Linked DNA regions of Arabidopsis thaliana. The protein of the gene in region 1 interacts with the protein of each later gene in a pairwise test. Each region holds a gene or a part of one and is shown in the gene's direction. Other genes may lie near its edges.

Region 1 (3,757 bases):
AGAATTCTAATGAAGAGATGATAAATATAAAGAAAGAGATTGTTGATTTTCATGGAGAAATGGTTTTGTTGATGAATTATAGTGCTCTTAACTATACAGGTAAACTTTTCTTTCTCATGTCATCTCCATGGTTATTGTTTTTCGTTCTTTTCTCATATGTTCTAATCATTCGTAGCCCGAAAGCCGACGTTGAGTAAACAGAACAAGCTCACATGTTGGACAATTGATAGTTTTTAGATGTTAAAACTCGTTTACAAGGTCAAGCTCTAGTTTTTAGCATTTCCTAGTAAGTGAAACCGTGTCAATGGGCAATATTTTTAGAAGTTTTGTGAAAGATTGATTAGTAGGGAACTTGAGTTAGTATTAACATTACGTCTATGTTAAGAGTCATATTCTCCACGATCTTTGTGTTACTTGTTAAATAGAAATGTGCCCACATGAAGGAATATGCTGTAATTTGTTTAACTGGCCACTCATCGCAGATGCTTTCTTTATACTTTTTTCTTATAAATAACTTGAGGTTTATGCCTTTATTCTTATTCGCTAAATGTGTAGAATTGTGTTCTATTGGTTTACAGGATTGGCAAAGATTCTCAAAAAGTATGACAAAAGAACCGGTGCTTTAATCCGTTTACCATTTATCCAAAAGGTTTTGCAAGAACCTTTCTTCACAACTGACCTACTCAACACATTTGTGAAAGAGTGCGAGGCTATGCTGGACCGCCTCTTTCCGTCTAACAAAAGTCGGAATCTGGATGAAGAAGGAGAGCCGACAACTTCTGGAATGGTCAAGACAGGAACGGACGATTCTGAACTTCTTAGAGTACCAAAAGAACTGTCTGAGATTGAGTACATGGAGAGCTTGTATATGAAGAGCACTGTGTCGGCATTAAAAGTATTAAAGGAAATCCGCAGTGGTAGCTCAACAGTTAGCGTCTTCTCGTTGCCACCGTTACCGGCAAGTGGATTAGAAGATGATTCATGGAAGAAGAAAGTTGGTGTCCTTGAACAAGTAGCGAAATGAATTATGAGTATTATTATTTTTAAATCTCTCTTTTTTTTTGTACTTTCTTTAAATAGTACAAGTAATTGTATACGCTTACAGCTGTAAAAGATGAATCAAATAAAACATAGAAGTGTGATCATCTTTCAACATTTAAACTTGGTTGCGTGTACTTTTTCTTTTGCTGCATATCATGTATGAAAAATCTTCTGTAAGACTGTAACACCACTTTCAAGCAGAGAGAACAATGAAATACATACGCCATTTCGAAATCTTATGTATTGCATTTTAGCATCTGTGGGTCAATCGGTCTCTGTACTCCTAACTAGGTGATATTTGGTCCAATTTAAGGGCAGCTCATTCAATCACAAAGAATCAAATATGTTGCAGAGGAAACTGTTCTGACTTCTGTGAATGTTGCAAGATTGTATAGCTGCTTCTTGTTCGGCCCTTTTATATGGGCTTTGTAATATATGGGCCTTTTTTATGTGGGCTTAGATAAGGCTTCGACAAATTTTAGACTACGCTTTGCGTCCCTAAGTGCGGCCACTCAGTAAATCATCTACGTCACTTATTGATCAAACTATGGCTGGGCAGTGGGCAAAACAAACGAACCAGAAATCCTAATTTTGTGTACTTCAAAAATCACCATTTTTTTTTTTTTTTTTTTTACTATTATAACAATACTTTTTGAGATCACCAATTTTCTTATTTTATAACTAATTAATTCTTTCAAGAAATATTTAATTCACTTTTTTATATATTTTAACTAAAAAAGACTAGAAGTTATTACTTTTTCTTTTTGACCCATACTATTAAAAATATAACTGTCACTGAATCGGCTCTAAATCTCCTCGACTTTCAACTCCTACAGACATTCAGACATGTGCAACACTCAACGCACTGTCGATATTACATAGACCCGAAATAAAAGCTCCTTGTCCAAAAACTTCATTCACCCTCTCATCGTTATCTTCATTTGGAAACAACTAAACAATATTCTGTTTTATTAATATTTTCGCCTATTTAAAAATTCAATTAGAATAGTGTATCCCTCTTCTCTATTCCTTCAAGCCAACTAAAACTACATTGCGTGACTTCTTCTGTAACCATTTTTCTATTCCGATCAAACCATGGCGTATTTAGCTCCGATTTCTTCATCCTTATCCATATTCAAGAATCCCCAACTCTCAAGATTCCAATTTTCTTCTTCCTCACCGAACCCACTTTTCCTTCGACCTAGGATTCAGATTCTGAGTATGACCATGAACAAGTCGCCGTCTTTAGTGGTGGTTGCGGCTACTACTGCGGCAGAGAAGCAGAAGAAGAGGTATCCTGGAGAATCAAAGGGTTTTGTGGAGGAGATGAGGTTTGTGGCTATGAGACTTCATACTAAAGATCAAGCTAAGGAAGGTGAGAAAGAGACTAAATCTATTGAGGAACGTCCTGTTGCTAAATGGGAACCTACTGTTGAAGGTTACTTGAGGTTTCTTGTGGATAGTAAATTGGTTTATGATACTCTTGAACTGATTATTCAAGACTCCAATTTCCCAACTTGTGAGTTTTTTTTTTCTCCTTCTTATCTTCTTGTTATGGGTTGATTGGTAATCTTTAGAAAAATTTGAAGTGATTTGGAGTGTTTTTAGATCTTAGTAGTATCTACCCTTTTGATAAAGATGGTTCCTTTGCTTCATTTCTTATCATGTCTGGATTTTGATTCATTCAGATTCTATTGGCTACTTAGGTTTTTGTAACTATTGGATTGAGTTGGTTATAGACTTATAGTGATGGTTTGATATGAATTGAAGTACTCTTAGGATGGTAATCTATTAATAGGTTGAAGTGATTTAATCTTAGTATCTACCCATTTGATAAAAATCATTCCTTTGCCTCATTTCTTATGTTGTTTTGGATTTGAATCGTTCAGAGTTTTTTGACAACTCAGTTATTTACTCTTGGATTGAGTTGTTGGTTGTGGTGTTTTGTATGAATGGTGGATTTAAGGTTGATTATATGTACAACTTGTGAAATCTAACTGAATGTTACCGGAGTTTTGGACTTTCAATCTTAACGTTATCTCTTATTCTTGATTAGCTCGTAATTAAAAACTGAGTTTGCTTATGTATTGGAAAAAGATCTTTATGCAAAAGTAGGTCTTTTTTTCTTGTGTAATCATCTCATGATCTAATTCTGCATACTGTTTTTTATATAGATGCCGAGTTCAAGAACACGGGGCTGGAAAGAGCGGAGAAATTATCCACGGATTTGGAGTGGTTCAAGGAACAAGGTTACGAGATTCCAGAACCAACAGCTCCTGGTAAAACATATTCTCAATATTTAAAGGAATTAGCAGAGAAGGATCCTCAAGCATTCATTTGTCACTTCTACAACATCTACTTTGCTCATAGTGCTGGTGGACGAATGATTGGCAGAAAGGTAAAAACTTTGTGCACTAAAACCATTTGGAAAATTAGCTTTGAATTTTTTCTGAAAGCACACCATATTTTGCAGGTGGCAGAGCGGATACTCGATAATAAAGAACTCGAGTTCTACAAATGGGACGGCGAACTTTCTCAATTGTTGCAGAACGTTAGGGAGAAACTGAACAAGGTTGCAGAGGAGTGGACTAGAGAAGAAAAGAATCATTGTTTGGAAGAGACTGAGAAATCGTTCAAGTATTCTGGTGAGATACTTCGTCTCATATTGTCCTGATTTGGTGCGCAGTGTCTCTAGATATCTCAATACGTCTTGTGG
Region 2 (3,757 bases), on another chromosome or scaffold:
TACTTCTTCAGTATCTTAACCAATCCTGTTGTTTCAACAAACCATTCATCAACGTTTTGTTCTACTACTAATAATAAGATTAAGTCTTAATGAGGCAATTAAATTAAATTACCAGTGTAATTAAGAGCACTGTAATTCTCAAGAAGAACCATTTCTCCATGGAAATCAACAATCTCCTTCCTGATTTTTATCATCTTCTCCATTGAATCCTTAGCTTTCGCAATTCTATCTCTAAATTCCTGTTTTTGTACAGACAGAGACACATTAGAAAAAGAGATGATCATTTTTAGGAATCGGATTCGAAATGTTGTTTATATTACCTTTAGTCTGATGATATATTCTTCTTCCTTCTCAACGAAGAAATTGTTGAATTTCTCCAACTCGTCTTCTAACAATTGGATGAAATTGATCTCTTCTTTCGATATTCCGACGGAAAACTCATCTAAACGGAGTCGTTTAACGGGACGATCGGCGGTTTTGGAACCGATGAGTTTGAGTCGTTTTTTGAGTTCTTTGTAAGACAAGAACTTGTCTTGCCATTCAGGAAGAGTTTGCTCGATCTGATTGCTGAGACTCTTACCAAACTTCATAGCTCTTTTATTTTCTGGGAAACTTAAGTGAGAATGATGAATGAAGAAGAAAGAGAGGGGGAAGAGGTTTAGAGATATAAAAGGGATTAAAAAGAATATTCTTAAGGTTTCTAATTAGAATATCCTTTTTTCTCTGTCTTTCTTTCGGGAGAATATCTTCCTTTTATTCCTTTCTTATTTATTACTTTTTCGTGGTTATCTGTGGGTGAGATTATAACACATGCCTATGTCAGTTCATAAATATCAATCACAACTCACATGCCAATTTATTTATCCAATACTTATTATTACAGATTTGCTGTCCAAAAAAAGAAAAATAATATTACAGATTTTATATCCATTTATCTGATTCATTTTTTTCTAAATTCGTATGGGTATCGTACTAATATCTTGATTCATTTTCTTTAGAGTTTGTACTGTATTCATCTGATATTTAAATATTTTACGATATTAGATTTCCTTATTTGGTATTGTCTATATATGTTCATGATATCTTCATAACTATGTACAGTATGTATTAAATCATCTTTTTAAAAATATATGTCTATTTATACATGCAGATACACTATGTAGTAGTGATTTTTTATTTTTTTTGCATTTTTAGATTTAATCAAAAACGAATTGCAAAGTAAAAAAAATGAATATTGGATATAGTATTTACAGTTACAGATATCCTCAAATCCAGCTCAGATTGTCGTCATGACATAAATACGTGGACGTTTGGTCTTCATGATCATATCTGTCTCTCCATGATGATGGCATGATCAATAAATAGTAGTTCAATACTACAACTAGTTTGACAATTTACCCACTTTTGATTTTCTGAAAAGATTTAACAAATACGCAAATGGGTCAAAAGTAGTTGGATTCCATGGAATATTCTTGATAGGAAAAGGGTATAAACCTCGGCATCTTTCAATCTTTCTTTAAAGCACCCCCCAATGGACAATTTATTGAATTTTCCCGATTCGCGTCTTAATTCATTCACATTTGCTCATTATTAGCTTCTGATTTTGACATTTAGGATAAACCACCGGTCCATTTGACATTGTCTATATGCAGCAAATTCTGCTGATTTTACAACTTGTCAATTTATATTTATTAAGAAGACTATCAGTTTATTAGTCAAACAACCAAAGTCCAAATCCTTATGACATGGTCGTCGTATTCTTTACAATCTTTGACGGATAAACTAAAACAATATTTACTTTGCCGTATAATCGAAACTTTCGTGTCTCTGTCTCATTTCTGGGTACGTATGTAATTAATGTATGCAAGCAAAGTAATCCATTGTTGGAGTTAAGTTCCCTCCAGTAGCCCAAATGGAATGGGCCTCGTTAAGTCAAAGTTCCATAATGAAAAAAGCCTAAAGAGTGAAAAAAAAATCTGAATTTTAACCGAAACAAATTTAGTTTGGTTCGTAAATAAAACCAGAACCAAACCGAACCGACAGTACCAAAAAAGAACCGATTGTTAAATGAAAGCGAACAACCACAAGAAATAAAATAGAGCAGAAAACTTTTTTATCAACGATCAATGGCTACCGTTAATCAGCAGCTTTACCGGCCAATACTCACCGCCGTCGGAAGTGACTGCCGGCGGCATGTAACCACCCGTTTCCTCCCTGTTCCGAGACGCAACGTAACCACTCGTCTACGGCCAATTTTGAGTCTTGAGGTGGGCAAGGAAGTGGCTTCAGCACCGTCGACAGTGAACATGGAAGAGCTCGTCGGATTCTTGTACGAGGATCTTCCTCACCTTTTCGACGACCAAGGAATCGATAAAACGGCGTACGATGAGCGCGTGAAGTTCAGAGACCCAATCACTAAGCACGACACCATCTCTGGCTATCTCTTCAACATTGCTTTCCTCAAGAATATCTTCACTCCTCAGTTTCAGCTTCACTGGGCTAAACAGGTCTTTGCTAACTTTTGTTTATCATTTGATTTCTTTAATTCTAGTTTTTTTTAAGTTCACTGATGCAGCTGATATATAGACAGGTCCATATGAGATCACTACGAGATGGACAATGGTGATGAAGTTCATACCTTTACCATGGAAACCAGAACTTGTCTTCACTGGATTATCAATCATGGAAGTTAATCCTGAAACTAACAAATTTTGTAGTCATCTGGTATGTATGGTTGCCATGTCCTTCTTCCAAAATCTATTGTGGTATGGTCTACTTATTACAAGTAGATGTTGTGCAGGACTTGTGGGATTCTATCAAGAACAATGACTACTTTTCTCTTGAAGGTCTTGTTGATGTTTTTAAGCAGGTTGCTTTCTTGGCATTTGGCATGAATTGAGCCCCCTTAGAAATGGTTAATCATATCTTACAAGTACTACCTTTTTTTGCAGTTACGGATATATAAAACGCCAGACTTGGAAACTCCAAAGTATCAAATACTGAAAAGAACAGCAAACTATGAGGTCACATATCTTCATGTATTGGCTTAATGGAACCAACTATGCAAATGTGGTTGCTTGCCTTAAGTTGGATTTGATTGTTTGGCAGGTTAGAAACTATGAGCCCTTCATTGTGGTGGAGACAATTGGTGACAAGCTTTCTGGTTCTTCAGGTTTCAACAATGTTGCTGGGTGAGGGTTAAGTCTAAGTTTCTGTGAGTGTCCATAAATTCTTCTGGCATCTTGTTTTATTTTGATAAATGTAACACATGCTAGCTTTTTTACCTATGAAGCTACATATTTGGAAAGAACTCGACCATGGAGAAAATACCAATGACAACTCCAGTGTTTACTCAAACAACAGATACTCAACTCTCTTCTGATGTCTCTGTACAAATTGTTATTCCATCAGGAAAAGATCTTAGCAGGTAAAGCCTTATCATGGATAGTTTTTTAGTTGACATCAGATATGGTTAATGAGAATCATTGTGTGATGAGAATGGTTTTGCTTTCCTTTTTCCTCTAGCTTACCAATGCCTAATGAAGAAAAGGTAAATTTGAAGAAGTTGGAAGGCGGTTTTGCTGCAGCAGTGAAATTCAGTGGTAAACCGACAGAGGATGTTGTCCAAGCAAAAGAGAATGAACTGAGGAGCAGTCTGAGTAAAGATGGTCTGAGAGCTAAGAAAGGTTGTATGCTTGCTCGTTACAACGATCCAGGACGAACATGGAACTTCATAATGGTATGATTCCAAGCTTTA

The links. The genes of interacting proteins can lie anywhere in the genome.
Region 2: the proteins of TED4 (region 1) and HBP5 interact in a two-hybrid assay, tested with the Arabidopsis thaliana proteins (one study listed by BioGRID).

Annotation. Positions count from the first base shown.
Region 1 is NC_003071.7:11,339,680-11,343,436, forward strand, and holds the start of TED4 (Plant heme oxygenase (decyclizing) family protein), read left to right. Parts: upstream 1-1,868; 5' UTR 1,869-2,136; coding exon 2,137-2,560; intron 2,561-3,215; coding exon 3,216-3,439; intron 3,440-3,514; coding exon 3,515-3,715; 3' UTR 3,716-3,757. Other genes in the region: SPX2 (SPX domain-containing protein 2 (SPX2)), read left to right, coding at 1-99, 579-1,024. UniProt on the Arabidopsis thaliana protein: Key enzyme in the synthesis of the chromophore of the phytochrome family of plant photoreceptors. Catalyzes the opening of the heme ring to form the open-chain tetrapyrrole biliverdin IX with the release of iron and carbon monoxide (CO).
Region 2 is NC_003076.8:6,799,262-6,803,018, reverse strand, and holds the start of HBP5 (SOUL heme-binding family protein), read left to right. Parts: upstream 1-2,041; 5' UTR 2,042-2,126; coding exon 2,127-2,507; intron 2,508-2,586; coding exon 2,587-2,724; intron 2,725-2,800; coding exon 2,801-2,869; intron 2,870-2,951; coding exon 2,952-3,023; intron 3,024-3,108; coding exon 3,109-3,191; intron 3,192-3,292; coding exon 3,293-3,427; intron 3,428-3,525; coding exon 3,526-3,739; intron 3,740-3,757. Other genes in the region: SPX1 (SPX domain-containing protein 1), read right to left, coding at 1-25, 113-239, 321-590.